2 linked regions of the Astyanax mexicanus genome follow. The protein of the gene in region 1 interacts with the protein of each later gene in a pairwise test. Links are inferred from orthologs where the notes say so. Each region holds a gene or a part of one and is shown in the gene's direction. Other genes may lie near its edges.

The links.
Region 2: the proteins of cul3b (region 1) and abtb1 interact in binary tests that used the Homo sapiens proteins (3 or more experiments, as listed by UniProt). The two-hybrid records come from large-scale screens. The link is inferred for Astyanax mexicanus from reciprocal best matches to the Homo sapiens genes CUL3 and ABTB1.

What each region holds. Positions count from the first base shown.
Region 1 is NC_064411.1:43,398,152-43,405,271, forward strand, and holds the start of cul3b (cullin-3b), read left to right. Parts: upstream 1-4,013; 5' UTR 4,014-4,226; coding exon 4,227-4,289; intron 4,290-7,120. Other genes in the region: guanylate cyclase soluble subunit beta-2-like, read right to left, coding at 831-904, 1,194-1,196. UniProt on the Homo sapiens protein: Core component of multiple cullin-RING-based BCR (BTB-CUL3-RBX1) E3 ubiquitin-protein ligase complexes which mediate the ubiquitination and subsequent proteasomal degradation of target proteins.
Region 2 is NC_064419.1:3,833,930-3,841,446, forward strand, and holds the start of abtb1 (ankyrin repeat and BTB/POZ domain-containing protein 1), read left to right. Parts: upstream 1-4,451; 5' UTR 4,452-4,663; coding exon 4,664-4,719; intron 4,720-6,658; coding exon 6,659-6,721; intron 6,722-6,820; coding exon 6,821-6,876; intron 6,877-7,517. Other genes in the region: si:dkey-222n6.2 (keratin, type II cytoskeletal cochleal), read right to left, coding at 351-559, 1,416-1,700. UniProt on the Homo sapiens protein: May act as a mediator of the PTEN growth-suppressive signaling pathway. May play a role in developmental processes.

The sequences.
Region 1 (7,120 bases):
AAGATATTTGACCAACTGTTCAGCAGAATTTAGTGCAGCAAATAGTGAATAAAATGCTTTTACAAATTTGATACAGCTTGTTTTTTTATGTTTGAGAAAAAATCTTAAGTTATGGATTGGATATAAATTATAGATGTTCATTTTGATTAAGTAATGAAATTAATGAACATTTTTAAGTCCCACAAATGTGAATGTGACATGAGATGGTTCAATTCCTATATATATATATATATATATATATATGAGTGCTTTCACATTCTCAGAAAAATGTCAATATATATCAATAAAAAACATAATTGATTTTTTTTTAATATATTGTTTTTAAATTATGGCTAAGCAATACTGTAAAAAATCCTTAATTTTTTTCCTTTACAAATGTAACCAAACATAACCTCTTAGTATTTCAGTGAAAAAAAAGCATGACTTCTTCTTCTTCAGGTTTCTCAAAGAAGCAAATGTCTATCTGCTGAGATTCCAATAGGCATATTTTTTTATGTAAAGATGTATAATCTCCATTATCCCATTTTAAAATGAAGCTTCAAAATGTTTTAAGGTACCATTATATAAGGCTTTAATTTTACATTTCTAATATTTTTTCATATTAATATTTTTATTCATTAAATTTTAATTTGTGTATGCATTTTGTAAGTCATTTGGGATAATGTTTAAAACTGGACTGGTTAATATTAATATTAGTTTTATTGTACAATAATATTATTATTTCCTGGTTTGCAGTGCATTAGTCAGCGATGCCGTGGCCAGTAGCGCCACCTGCTGGACAGTATGGGTAGCTTCAGAGAGCCACAGAGAAGCGATAGATAGATCTTCACCTGAGTTTATTCCATGTGTCTTCTCCAAATTTATCGATCACCAGCGACTTCAAACATGTGTTAATAAAGCCGTACTGTGGATATATATAAAGAGGGTTCAGGACAACACACAATAATATACTTCAAATCTGCTTTAAAACAGCACTGTCCCTGAAATTAACTTAAAATTCACAAAATGTCTATTTGAACTATATTTAAATGGGTTGGAGCTACTAAAACACGATTAATATAATGCTACGCACTACCAAGACAAAACCAAAGCCAAAATATTTAAATAAATGCTTTATAGACACACATATCTGGGCTAAAGTAAGCCAATTGTACAACAATATTCAGGGTAAATACAAAAAAAAAATATCTTACCATTTCTTTGCCTTAGGCCTCTACCGATAAACTGTTCATTTTTCCTTTGTAGATATTCCGTCCGTAATTAAATATAAAGCCAAAAGTGTTATATCCAGTTTCAGAGGAGAAATGACTGCAGTAAAAACGCAATTCCTTCTTCACACAACGAACACAAGTCCTTCCCTTTAAAGTTAAAGTTTAAATCTGCTAAAATATATATATGTATCATTCCTGAAGGCGTTGAGTTTGGTGTGCTGCAGTGGACAGTGGGACAGCTAGGCTGCTCTCTGCTGCTCCTTTATCTACATGTCGTGAGGAGAGTCTCTCATCTCCATTAACAAAGAAATAATTTCCCTACATGTCGCTCTAAAGCTCAGTTCCACAGAACTGATTACCATTAAACATTTAGACTGCCCATGATCACATTAAACCTATACTACTTTTTATATACTAACCTTTTTCAAGCCAATTTTCAGTTCACCTACTAAATGTGCTATTTCACAAAGTTACGTTTTTCCCATAGCAGGCTAAATGTTGCTGTCTGTTTACAAATTTAAAAAACTAAAACTATGTAATAACTAAAAATCGTACTCATAACCAGCATTGCTCAACGTACAGAATAAAAAAAAATCGGAATTAGTTTTTTCTGATTTTTCTATTTATATATATACATATATATGTTTGAATAAAATTATCATTGTTGTCTTATTCTATAAACTATGAACAACATTTCTCCCAAATTACAAATAAATAATTATATAATAAATAATCATTTAGAGCATTTATGTTCTAAATATAAATATAAAAAAATGGCTAAAATAACAAAAATGATGCAGCGAGATAATGCAAAGAAAATAAGTTCATATTCGTGACGTTGTAAGAGTTCAGAAATCAATACTTGGTGGAATAACCCAGGTTTTTATTCACAGTTTTTCTTTTTCTTTATCTTGGCATGTTCTCCTCCACCAGTCTTGCACACTGCAATTGGATAACTTTATGTTACACCTGGTGCAAATATTGAAGCAGTTCAGCTTGGTTTGATGGCTTGTGATCATCCATCTTCCTCTTAATTATATTCCAAAGGTTTTCAGTTAGGTAAAATCAAAGACATTCATCATGTTAGAAGGTCTCTCTTTTTTTTATTTGAATTAAGTTAAAAAATATTCGAATATTTTTTCTTAACTAGTGTGCAACACATTTAAAAAAAATATTCAATTTTCTTTTAGAATAAGTAGTTCTTTTAGACTAAAGTAGTTCAAATTAGTTGAAATTGCAAAAAATATAAACATCTTGCTAAATTATCATATTTGATACGTAGTGAAGTTTTTAAAAATCTGCAGCATCTATTTGATATTAATTTTATTATTCTTAGATCATATTTAAATACAATAATAACCATTAGGAAATTACAATAACATATAATGTAATAATTAAAATAATTCAGTACATAAATAATAAAACATAATTTGACTTTTGTTGCCCCCTGGTGGATTATCCTTGCACCGCATCCAAGAGAAAAATACATAAAGATTTCTGGATTTGAATTTATTTGAGTTAAATGTAGATTAAACCTTTTTTGGTTTATTCTACATGCTTTAGTTTGATTAATTTGTTATTGCATTAAGCAATACATTCCACGTCTACCAAACCTGAGACAAACTCATAAACACACAAAAAAGGTCCAGGGTTAACAATATAATGCAAAGGAATGGCTTAAACACTGCTTAGATGTTAATTATTAGAGAGTTCAAAGTGCAAGGTGCATATAGTAAGTTAATAGAAAAATTGTTTAGATCAGCAAGAGTCTGTACTGTGTGTTTTTATGGGGGCACTGCTGGTGTGACCAGTTTAACAGCTCTCAAGTAACATTACACTTGAGTCTGTGGGTTCTGTTTGTGTGATCTTGGGCAAAACAGTTCATTGTCTCTAGTGCAGCCAGTCACATATTTCCCTGAAGTTATTATGGCCAATGCCAAGAATCAGTCTGAAAGGTATAACCCTTACACTCCAACATTGGATTGTGGGGGTCTCTGTGCTGATATGTATATGGATTCTCCATATCTTTAAGATGAACTGGAGCGCAGAACTGATCATACTAATAATCCAACATTACCGAACTGCAATGCCATATATGGTTGGTCCCATATAGGCCCCATCATTACAGTGCACCTTAGCTTCACAAGTGTACAACTTGGATGGGGCTCATCACTAAAACATAATAGGCCACTTAAAATATATGAGTTTTTTTATTTATTTTACCTAATTGAAAACCTCTGAAATATAATCAAGTGGAAGATGGATGATCATAAGCCAACAAACAAAGCTGAACTGCTGAAAGTTATTAAAAAGCTGTGTGAAAGACTGGTGGAGGAGAACATGCCAAGATGCATGAAAACTGAGGTTATTTCAGAATAAAACAGCAATGTTCATTTTACTCAAGCATATACCTATAAATTGCAAAATCAGAGAAACTGATTAAGAAACTGAAGTGGTCTATTTATTTTTTTTCCAGAGCTGTATGTGGGGCCAATATGAAACCAATTTAAAAAGAAAACTTTTTTTTATTATTTGCTGTTTATTTTACAGACATTTTGAGAAGAAAACTCATAGTAAACTTAATAGTAATGTTTTTTTTTGTTTGTTTGTTTGTTTGTTTTATTGAATGAATGTGTCAGTGCATGAATATATGAAAATATAGGAGACCATCTCATATCTATTCGCATGTGTTGCAGTAGTGAGAGAGGTTCACATACACACAGTGTGTGTGTGTGTGTGTGTGTGTGTGTGTGTGTGTGTGTGTGTGTGTGTGTGTGTGTGTGTGTGTGTGTGTGTGTGTGTGTGTGTGTACCGTCCGCCATCATTGGAGAGCAGCACAGCACAGCAGAGCCGAGCAGTCAGGCGCTTGTCAACAAGTCCCAAACTACTGGGATCTCCAGCTATTAAAGAAGGTCAAGTGGAGGCTGATCATCGGCTCCACGGACTTATCTCCCTTCCCTTTACCAGGACAAGTCTTTCATGTGAGCGAGGAGACCACCGGGGAGGCAGCCAAACATGTCAAATCTCAGCAAAGGCGGCACCAAAAAGGACACCAAGATGAGGATACGAGCCTTTCCTGTGAGTACAGGCCGGCGTCTGGAACGCCGCAGCCGGCGAGGCCTTCACTCGAGCTCCGGGGATGCGGGCTTCAGGCTCAGGCTTGAAGGCCCGAGTGCTCTTAAGCAGGGGTGCATAAATGTTGTCACCCATCCAAGAGTGAGCCGAATTACAGAATTAGAAATGCTGCAGCAGTAGCACCAACACCAACACCAGAGTGTCCATTAACTAGAGACAAGTCACCTCATTATAGCTGCATGTTTCCTGCTGACAGATTTTAGCTACACCAACCTTAACGCTAGGTTATATCATTTAGGTAGAGCTAGCTAACGTATGTAAACGCTAGCTATGTGACCCTTACTTGTTTTATGCCGATTATTTTTTGGAAATGCTCCGAATGTGAACGACATTCATGAGCTTAGCTAAGTTATTCGAGCTGTTCGTCTTCTCTTTTCACGAAGGTCACGAATAAAAACGTCCTAATCGACTTGTGTGTGAGAATAAACCGTGTTCAGACCGTCTTTCAGTCCCTCACTGATTCAGTTAACTAGGTCCCTGAAATGCGATATAAACCTGTGTATGAGGCTAACGTAGTTAGCTAGCTAGCTATTTAGCTAACCTAGCTAAATAGCTAGCTTGGCTCACTTGCGCAGTTCGGAGACTTCTAGCCCCGTTAGCTTAGCTGGCTAACTGACAGATAGCGCTAGATAATGTATTTTCACTGTTACACGAATTCGAATTATGCTCTTACGTGACTTTCGTACGTTTTTAAATCCCACACAACTGGACAACTCGAGCAGAAATGTTGTGTGACGCATTGAACGTAGCTAAATTAGCCAGCCAGTTAGCTTTTAGTTAGTTAACGCTAACGTAAAACATGTTATTAGCCCTTAGCTAGCTTAGTTAGCTATCGGCTCTTACCAGGACTTTAGCTAGTTGGTCAGTATGTCTTAGCTGTAACTAACTAGCCAGCTAGCTATCTTAGTTATGCAGAAGATTAAAACATAAAACATGCTATGACTGTACGAGCTATGTTGTTTTAATTATATAAGCTAGCTATTTCATTTAGTATGTGTTAATTACGTTAAAGTTAGCAAGCTACGCTAGCTAAGGAGTCCGTGTTTCCTGAGTGCCACTTAATAATAAAAAAAAAAAAGGTTCAGAATGTAAAAATCCATCCCATGATTTTGTTCCAACTGCATAGACTCTTGAGCTGCAGCAGAGCCGTCCGGGCAGTTAAAACAAAATCCTGGGGTGGATGTTTACTTTGTGGGGCCTGGATTAGCCACCTGACATGGCTTTTTTGAAAGGGTTCTGTTTTGTTTTCTTCTCTTAATTGACATCAATAACATTAGCAGGACGTGAGCAATACTTTAATATTGCATGATAATCGAGTGTTATGTATTATTAATATTTTTAAAAGGTCTGAAACCTTTTCAAGGTCCTGGACAAACAAAAAAACAATATTGAAAACAATAAACAGCCTTGCAATGCAACCCTATTATAACTTGGGAGCATAATATTGTGTATATAATGTATAGTAAACTATGTGTATTATCTCATTATGTTAGCTAGCAAGGTATGTCTAATAGTATTGCAAAAATCTAAAAACAATGTGTATTTTAGCCATAGAAACCTAGGTTACAGAGCCCAACAGATGGAAAAATACAATTTTGTGACTTCATAAATATTTTGCAACCTCAGTTAAAAGAAGAAACATTTAATTAGGTAAATTTAGGGAACAAATGGCTTAATCAGGAGGATGATGTCCTTGATGTATGCCTGTATTTTACAGTACAGTATTCAAATTCCTTCAGACTAAAGAATAAAGTGTAGAAACCAAACTGCGTGAACAGTATACATTAACACACATTTTCTTCTCCCAACCTGTGAAACGGACAGATTTCACAATACCCCACCTGAAGGAATTCGGCCTACTTTTTCTTGTGAAACTATTACGCTATGTGTGAATTCCTCTGAACCACGCCACTGTGTTTGTACCTGTTCCAATCATTTGGCTTAGATACAGTTTTATCTTGAGCTTTGCTGTTTAAACAGTCTGAAATAATGTGACCTTACAGATGGATAAGGGCAGAAAGATAAATGAAAGTGGTGTGGACTTGGTCGAGTCATGTTTACTTAGATCTTATGGCTCAGTATAGCGTTTAGAGTGACTGCATGGCATTCTGTTACTGCGGACAATGTAAACGCTTGAGATGCTTTGATAAAAAATGGACTAGGTACTACTTTGTACGGGGCACGATTCATCCTAAATACTAAAATTATTTTCAGAATGTGTCAGATATTCAAGTTTTGAAGGAGCTGAAATCATTATAGTACTGTGAAACCGGACAAAAACATATTGATGCAACCAAAACAAAACAATGTGAAGCTCCGAATAAATAACATGTCTGTGTGATGTGTATAAAACACAGTAAAAAAAAGAGCAGCTTTTAAAACCATTAAGTGACACAGTAAATGACAAATAACATAATACACATCACAGTACACTGTATTAATCACAGTGTCTTGACATAGTGATATGTGCAATTTTCATTTTTTTTTTTTTTTTTGCAATTTTACACAGTATCAGATATTTTGATTGCAGCCCATTTCAATCTGGATATTGTGTCTTTTTAAATAATATAATTTACATCAATTACAATTAGCCCTAAAATTGAACTCAGTGATTCTATTGCTTTAGGATCAATAACTCAATCATTAACTCTGCATATAAGGGGTTTATGTGAAAGATATGAAGAACACTCAGCATTTGGGGGCATTTACCTTCTAATACAGTGATGATCAGTGGCATTACTGATATTGTGGTGGTGGTGTTTTTTTAGCTGTCC
Region 2 (7,517 bases), on another chromosome or scaffold:
AAATTTATTTTATTGAGATTTTAAGTGATAGAGCAACACAAATTATCTGATAAAAACTGTCATTTTTCCCAGCATGCAATCACACTGGACCTTTTAGGACCCTGCTGATCATGTGACACTACAGGGCTCGAGCTCTCTGAGCTTCTGATTGCCCACACCTAGTTCTTTTAGTGTATAAACCCTTTGTTTTTTTTAGTAGCTCCTCGCTGGGTATTGAATTACCTTTATCTTTTGGATTTCCTGTGTATGACCCTTTGCTACTGTATTAACTGTGTTAGCAATACTATCCAGTACTTGGACATGTAAATGGACTTTTTAATCACACTATAGATTGTTAAGGGGGGCCTAACCTGTTTTGGTTGTCCTCCACCAGCTGGTGGGTGCTGTGGAGTTCAGCGTCCAGCCGATCCTTGTCTCTGTTAAGGGTGTCCAGCTGGGCCTGCAGGGTGCTGATATAATTCTTCATCATGGGCTCCAACCTGGAGTCCTTGCGCGTCTCACCATTCAGCAACTTCCACTTTGTCTCCAATAACTTATTCTGCTGCTCCAGGTGGCGCACCTGAGAGAAAGAGAGATATGATAAAAGATGAGAGATGTTAACAGATAGTGTGAAGCTCCTGGTTGACCTTTTTTTTCTCTGATGTGATGATTAGAGACACCTTGGTGAGGATGCTTTTGTTATTAATCATTAAAAGTTAAAATAATGTCAGTTACAGGTCATTTATAACATAAATAAGCTGAAAACGAGCTGTTTAAATAAAATTTTAATTTCCCTCCATCCATGACCAGCAATAACTAAATAAAATACATTAAAGCAACCATCTATAGTTAAAATGAGAAGACATTGCAATATCGTCTGTTAGTTACTTACTTAAATCAGCCATAACATTAAAACCACCATATTGTGTAGATCCCTCTCATCCACTAAGTTGGATTTTACAAGACCTTTAAATGTGTCCTGTAGTATCAAGACAAGACATTAGTAGCACATCCTAAAAGTCCTATATCAATATTTACTAGAGCCACCATTCGCTGCAATTATAACAGTAAGTGCTTTGGGGTTTGTCTCTACCAGTTTTGCGCATCTAGAGACTAGAGATTTTTGCCCATTCTTCTTTATAAAACAGCTCAAGCTTAGCCAGGTTTGATGGAGAACGTCTTGAAAATTGATTACTGATTACTGATCTGTTCAGCAGAAAAAAGTCTACAACCCATACTAAACAGTATATAGTACTAAAATACTGGCTGAAACTCTGCTGACATAAGCTGTTGGTGCTTAAACTCAGCATGTTTCCTTAATTTCTGATGATACATCCTGATCTACATTCTGATCATGTTATGAATCACTATAAAAATATAATCCTTAATAGTCTTTTAAGTATACAGGGTAAAACACACTTGGCTAGCTCTCTCACCTTGTCGATGTAGGAGGCGAACTGGTTGTTGAGTGTTTTGATCTGCTCCTTCTCCTGCAGTCTGACCGCATGCAGGTCAGGGTCCAGGTCCAGCTGCATGGGGGTCAGCAGGTTCCTGTCCACAGTTACGGCCCTAACAGGCAGGCTCTGCGCTGGAGCATCCCCAAAGCCAAAATATGAGGTTCCAGTGCGGGGAATGGTCGCTCCAGCCCGGGGATACGAGCCCAGAGAACTGCTGCTGAAGCTCCGCACACTGGACCTGCTGCTGCTGACCCGACTACTCATGACTGCAGAGCTGAGGAAGACTGTTGAGGACTGTAGAGTATGGTGGAGTGTGATAATTGGAGGTGTGTGGAGTCCTGGACTGACAACATATATATACTTAGCCGGGGTGTGTGTGTGTGTGTGTTTTTGTGTGTGTGTGTGTGTTTGGAGGTATGCACATTCTTCAGATGGAAAAACAAGTTTAACAACTGATAGCAGAGCTCAGCTCACACACATACTGTACATTCATGTATTCATCAGGGATGCATGCTTACACACATGAACACACACACACCCACACCCACACACTGTGTGTCTGGGAACTCTTCCAGTCCTGATGTAATCTCAGTAGTAGAGACTGCTGATGTCAGAGTTCTGTACCAGTGTTGTGAGCTGGCATGTTTTGGTTCACAGGTATCTGATGATCTACTGATGCTGCCGTCTGCTATTCGAAGAACCTGCCTAATATACTTAGAGTACTCATATTAAATATTTAGCTTCCTGTCTGTTTTCTCTAATAGATTTCCAGGATTTCCAATAAAGTTTGAACTGATAACCGCAACCCCAACACTCCCACCCTCAGCTCAAATTTAAAAAAGGCAAAAAAAAAGGGGAGGAATAGTTTGGGAGGGTCCCTCCTGCCTCGCCTCTAAACCCATACATCACCCTCGTCTCTAAACCCATACATCACCCAGTGGGCGAGGCGAGGCAGCTCTCAGGAGGGAGAGCTGATTGGCTCTGTGTTTGGTTGGGCATCAACAGGGGGGGCAGTACTATTGATTGATTAAATAATCTGCCTATTGTGATGTGTGCGCGTACCAAAGTATACGGACACATCATTCTCGCCTATAATAGCACAGTTGAACCTGAGGGGGCGCTGCAGAGGCAGAAATGATCACAATAAAAGTTTTATAGTTTTTATAGTTTAGGTTAGGAAAAGTTAGGAAATAAAAATTTGTAAGCAGGACTGGAATGAACACATTGAACAAATGAACACATTTTGTCCATTAACCAAAAACATATTGTTTAAAGTTTAATGGTTCTTTAAAGCTGCTGTCAGTTTCGAGAAATCTGTCAGGTCAGATGTTTCTGCTAATTTGCTGTCCAGACCTGTCCAACCACCTCTGAGCCACCTGCACGCTCTGATCTTCTCCTGTTGTGCCAAAAACTTCACCTACAATACCAGTCAAAAGTTTGGACACACCTCTTCTCATTCAATGTGTTTTGTATTTTTTTCTTTGTGATTTTAATATTGAAGACTATATTAAAGCTAGTATTGAAGTATTGTTTTAAACCAGAATATGTCTTATACATTTAGCCTTGGTGACAGATTTACACACTCTTTTTAATATATTTTAATCTCAGTGTCTTTTTGAGATAGAATCACCTGGAATGGTTTTCTTGAAGGAGTTCCTGGAGGTGCTGAACAATAGTTGCTAGCTCTTTTTTAGAGGGGCACAAGCACCCCTAAACCAGGTCCCAGTCCCACCACCTCTAAACATGACGGTACAAAGTTATTGGTTTTTAGCTCTGAAATTAGATCATGAAACATATTTTAAGAAAGAAATACAGCAATCTTCCCCTCGCCCTGCGAATATATTTTTATTTTTCTGTATTAAGTCTATTATCTCTTTATTATAACACAATATCACGCAGTATTGACAATAAAACTACTTGACATGATTTGATCAAGAGGCCCAGTGCGCTTCATGCTGTATTAGGATATGATTGATGATTGTACGCTCCCTGCTGGTCACTTAAGAGAACTGCAAGTGTCTTTTACTACAAGTCAGAAAAGGGGTTAGTTTTATTCAGACAGTCTTAATAATATTTTACTCAAACAGTATGAGAAAAACAAAAAAACTGTGCTAATTGGGCTTCAAAACAAAAAAAAATCCTCTTTTTAAACTTAATCACCTTTATTTTTTACTTATTTTTATTTTTTTTAATTTTTTACTTTTTATTTCTTGCGTCCACCCTGTAATAAATAACATCAATATGCTACTTCTCTGCTAATTTAGAAATTGTGTCACTAGGAATTTAGCTAACTTTTTTGCTAGTTTAAAGATTTTGTCACTAGATTTAGCAACTATTTGTTGGTAGATTGAGTGAGAAGCATTTAAAGTATTATTTTGAAAAAGTGAATAAAAATTATATTAACTGATGTGTATATGTTACGTGTATAAACACGTAAGTTTGTCATACTTTTGCAATCCTGCCTAATTATTGAATTAATATAGGTTTAATTTTTTTTATTAATATAAAAAGGTTTTCGGGAGTTAAGGGGAGGTTTGGGTTTTTTAATATATATTTTAATATATTTTATATAAAATTCGTCACTAGATTTAGCATCTTTTATGCAAATTTAGAGGTTTTGTTGCTAGATTTTGTAGCGATATTTATGCTAATTTAGAGAGAAGCGTTGAAAGTATTACTTTTTAAAAAGTAAATAAAAAATAAATCGCCTTAATTCAACTAACGTGTACTGCCTAATGAATCTATAAATATAAGTTTAAAATCTCATTATTCTCATTATTAAATCTCATTATTTTTTGCGGCTTCTAACGGAATAGACTGGTAAGCGACTTTATGTAACACTTAAGGGAGTACTTAGTAAAGTTCAATTTTTAAAAGAAGATTTAAAGGGTTATTTCCTAGAACAATTTTAAGGAATATTAGGGGAAAAATCAATTAACTTTTTTTTATATTAACTTACTGGGCGCAGACCTGCAGTACCACCTTCCTCCGGAGGGGGCGGCAGAGGGTCTCAGCCTGTGGGGAAACTCTATGGTGGCGGAGGACTGTTGTTTACGTCTGAGAGAAATTTCGTCAAAACAGCGGAGCGCAGTGACAGCGAGCAGCAGGGCCTCCAGAGCCGCGACCCAGCCGAGTTTTCTTCACTAACCCGCCGCCCAGCGCCTGCTCTCCGCCCCGTCCTCCAGGCAGGCCGGTTCAATGCCTTTCAGAGCCGCTTTATCGCCGCTATGGACGCAAACGATCTGTTTTCGAGCTGCAGGAAGGGCGACGTTGCGAGAGTGAGGTCTGTACTCCGGGCTAAACTTCTGCAGCCGCTATTTAAACTAAATATATAGATATATATCAGTATTTTTATCATCCCTGACTCTGGTATTGTAGTTGTTATTTTAGTGAGGGCATTATATAAACTGGTAACAGTGTTAATACATGTTCAGGAGGTTAGTTCAGGGAGTTAATTATGGTGCAGAGTAGCACATACTGTACACTCCGTTAGTAAACAAACTTAACCCTTTAAAAGTAAGTAACGTTAGGTAGCTAAAGTTTCTTTTTTTTTTTAATCAAATAAAAAACCTTTGGAATATAATCAAGAGGAAGATGGATGATCACAAGGCATCAAACCAAGATTAACTGCTTGAATTTGTGCAACATGAGTAAAGCAGCATAAAGTTATCCAAAAGCAGTGTGTAAGACTGATGGAGGAGAACATGATCCCAAGATGCATGAAAAAAAAACTGTGATTATAAACCACCAGGGTTATTCCACCAAATATTGATTTCTGATATCCTAAAACTTTATGAATATAAACTTGTTGTCTTTGCATTATTTAAGGTCTGAAAGCTCTGCATCTTTTTTTTTTAGACATTTCTTATTTTCTGCAAATAAATGCTCTAACTGACAATATTTTTCTTTGAAATTTTGGAAAAAAGTTGTCCATAGTTTATAGAATAAAATCAGAGAAGCTAATTCAGGAACTGAAGTGGTCTCGTTATGTTTCCAGAGTTGTTATTGATTTTTGAAACTTGCATAAACGTGCATCATAAGTGTGATAATACATTACTACTAATTCTTAACTTTTTTTTTTTTTTGAAAACAAACAGCACAATTTAAAGTGATGCGCAAGCTGTTTTTCCTTTACATTTAATAAAAAAATAGTAAGCAGCCCCCTTTAACCTTACATGCAGTTTTTATATTAAACGCAGTGCAAACATAACCTTTATGTACTTCAGTTAAGGAAAAGTTTAAAGTATGAAAATCACTGTCACATAAAAGAGTGTTTTACAAGTTTCTGACAGATGCATATGTGAAGCATATGAAGCATTGGATGTGTTCAATTCCATCAGCAGCTAATCTAATTTAACATCATTATACACTGATTTATCAAACCAGGGGTTTTATATTATGAGAACTATAAACAATACTAGACTCAGATGCAGACTGTGATACTGTTAGCAATACGATACTGGCAATTTTTTAAATAAATAATTATTTAAACTGTTATGTAGGAAAAACATCAATATTATGTGTGTAAAATCTGCATATCCTATCAAAAGAATGGGATACTGTATACCACTGCTTTCTAATGGTTGGGATTGAAACACAAAAAGATCAATAATTTTTTCGTTCAGATTGTTAAATATTGCAAAACATTATATTATATATAACACACTTTTTCTGAAACCCCTATGGTAAACATTGTTAAAGTTATGATGATGATTATTAAATTTTCACCATTGTTTTAATTGGATATTAGGGTAAATAGTACAGTGCAGTAAAATGTGGTGAACATGATCCCTTTAAAACATTATTATGTCATTTAATTTTTTGTTTATGTTATTAATATTAATTCCTAATATAAATATAAAAAAATATATCTCATTTACGTTGTATAAACGTTGTATCTCCATTTTTGTGGTTATATATTTATAGTTAAATATTGTATCAAAATTTCATGATGAATGGACCAATAGAAATATTTAAAAATGACTTGGAATATAATTTGTGACTTAACTTGTGCTTTGACTTTCATTGAAAGTGAATTAGGATTTTTTATCTACTGTGAAATTTGCGTTGTTTTTTTTTTCATAACAGTGATGTATTTCTTGTAATATATATATATATATATATATATATATATATATATAATTATATTATATAATATATATATTTATTTATTGCCTAATTAATGTTCTCTCTCGTTCTTTTTCTCTCTCTTTCTTGCTCAGATACCTGGTTGAACAGAGAGATGTGGAATTGAACGTGAGAGATAAATGGGACAGTACACCTCTGTGAGTCAGAATTGATTCCTCTGTATTAAATGTATTTTGATTTCCGTGTAGCTGCTGTGGACTCAGCTGAATGTGCCTTGTGTCTTGGTGTGAATGAAGGTACTATGCGTGCCTCTGCGGACACGAGGAGTTGGTGCAGTATCTACTGGCCAACGGTAAATATCCATTACACTGTAATTGTGCTGTTTTTATATTTGTAGTTTGTAGTTAGACTGTTGTAGAGTTACAAAGTATAAAATGTGTGTTTTTGGTGATTCATGTAAATAAATGTTTTTAGTTCTATTTGTTTACTAATTTTAATTTTGAAATGTTTATCATTAATAGTGGCTATTAATGTATTCTCTTTTGTAATTATACATTCAAAAATCTAAAGTGTGTTATTACTGAAAAACACTGTCTATTTCATCAGTTGCTGGAATTTTATAGTAGAGAATTGAAGTATATTCATGTGCCAAAAGTCCTGGGACAGCAACCTGTATTATTATTCACTAGCAGATGAGATGGCTCACCAAACCGTCACTGACCATCAGTAAAATCAGTAAAAAATCTGGAGGAAGAGTGGAGAGACAAACAGTTCAAGCTGCTTGAGGTCTAGTGTGAAGTTTCCACCAATCAGTGATGGTTTGGATAAAGAGACATGTCTGTCATCTGCTGGTGTTGATCCACTGTGTTTTATTATCAAGTCTAAAGTCAGTGCAGTTTTGTTTTCCCACAAAATCTTACAACAGCACTTCATATCTTACAGCTTCCCTCTGCTACTGACAACTTTTATAGAGATGTGGATTTCATTTTCCAG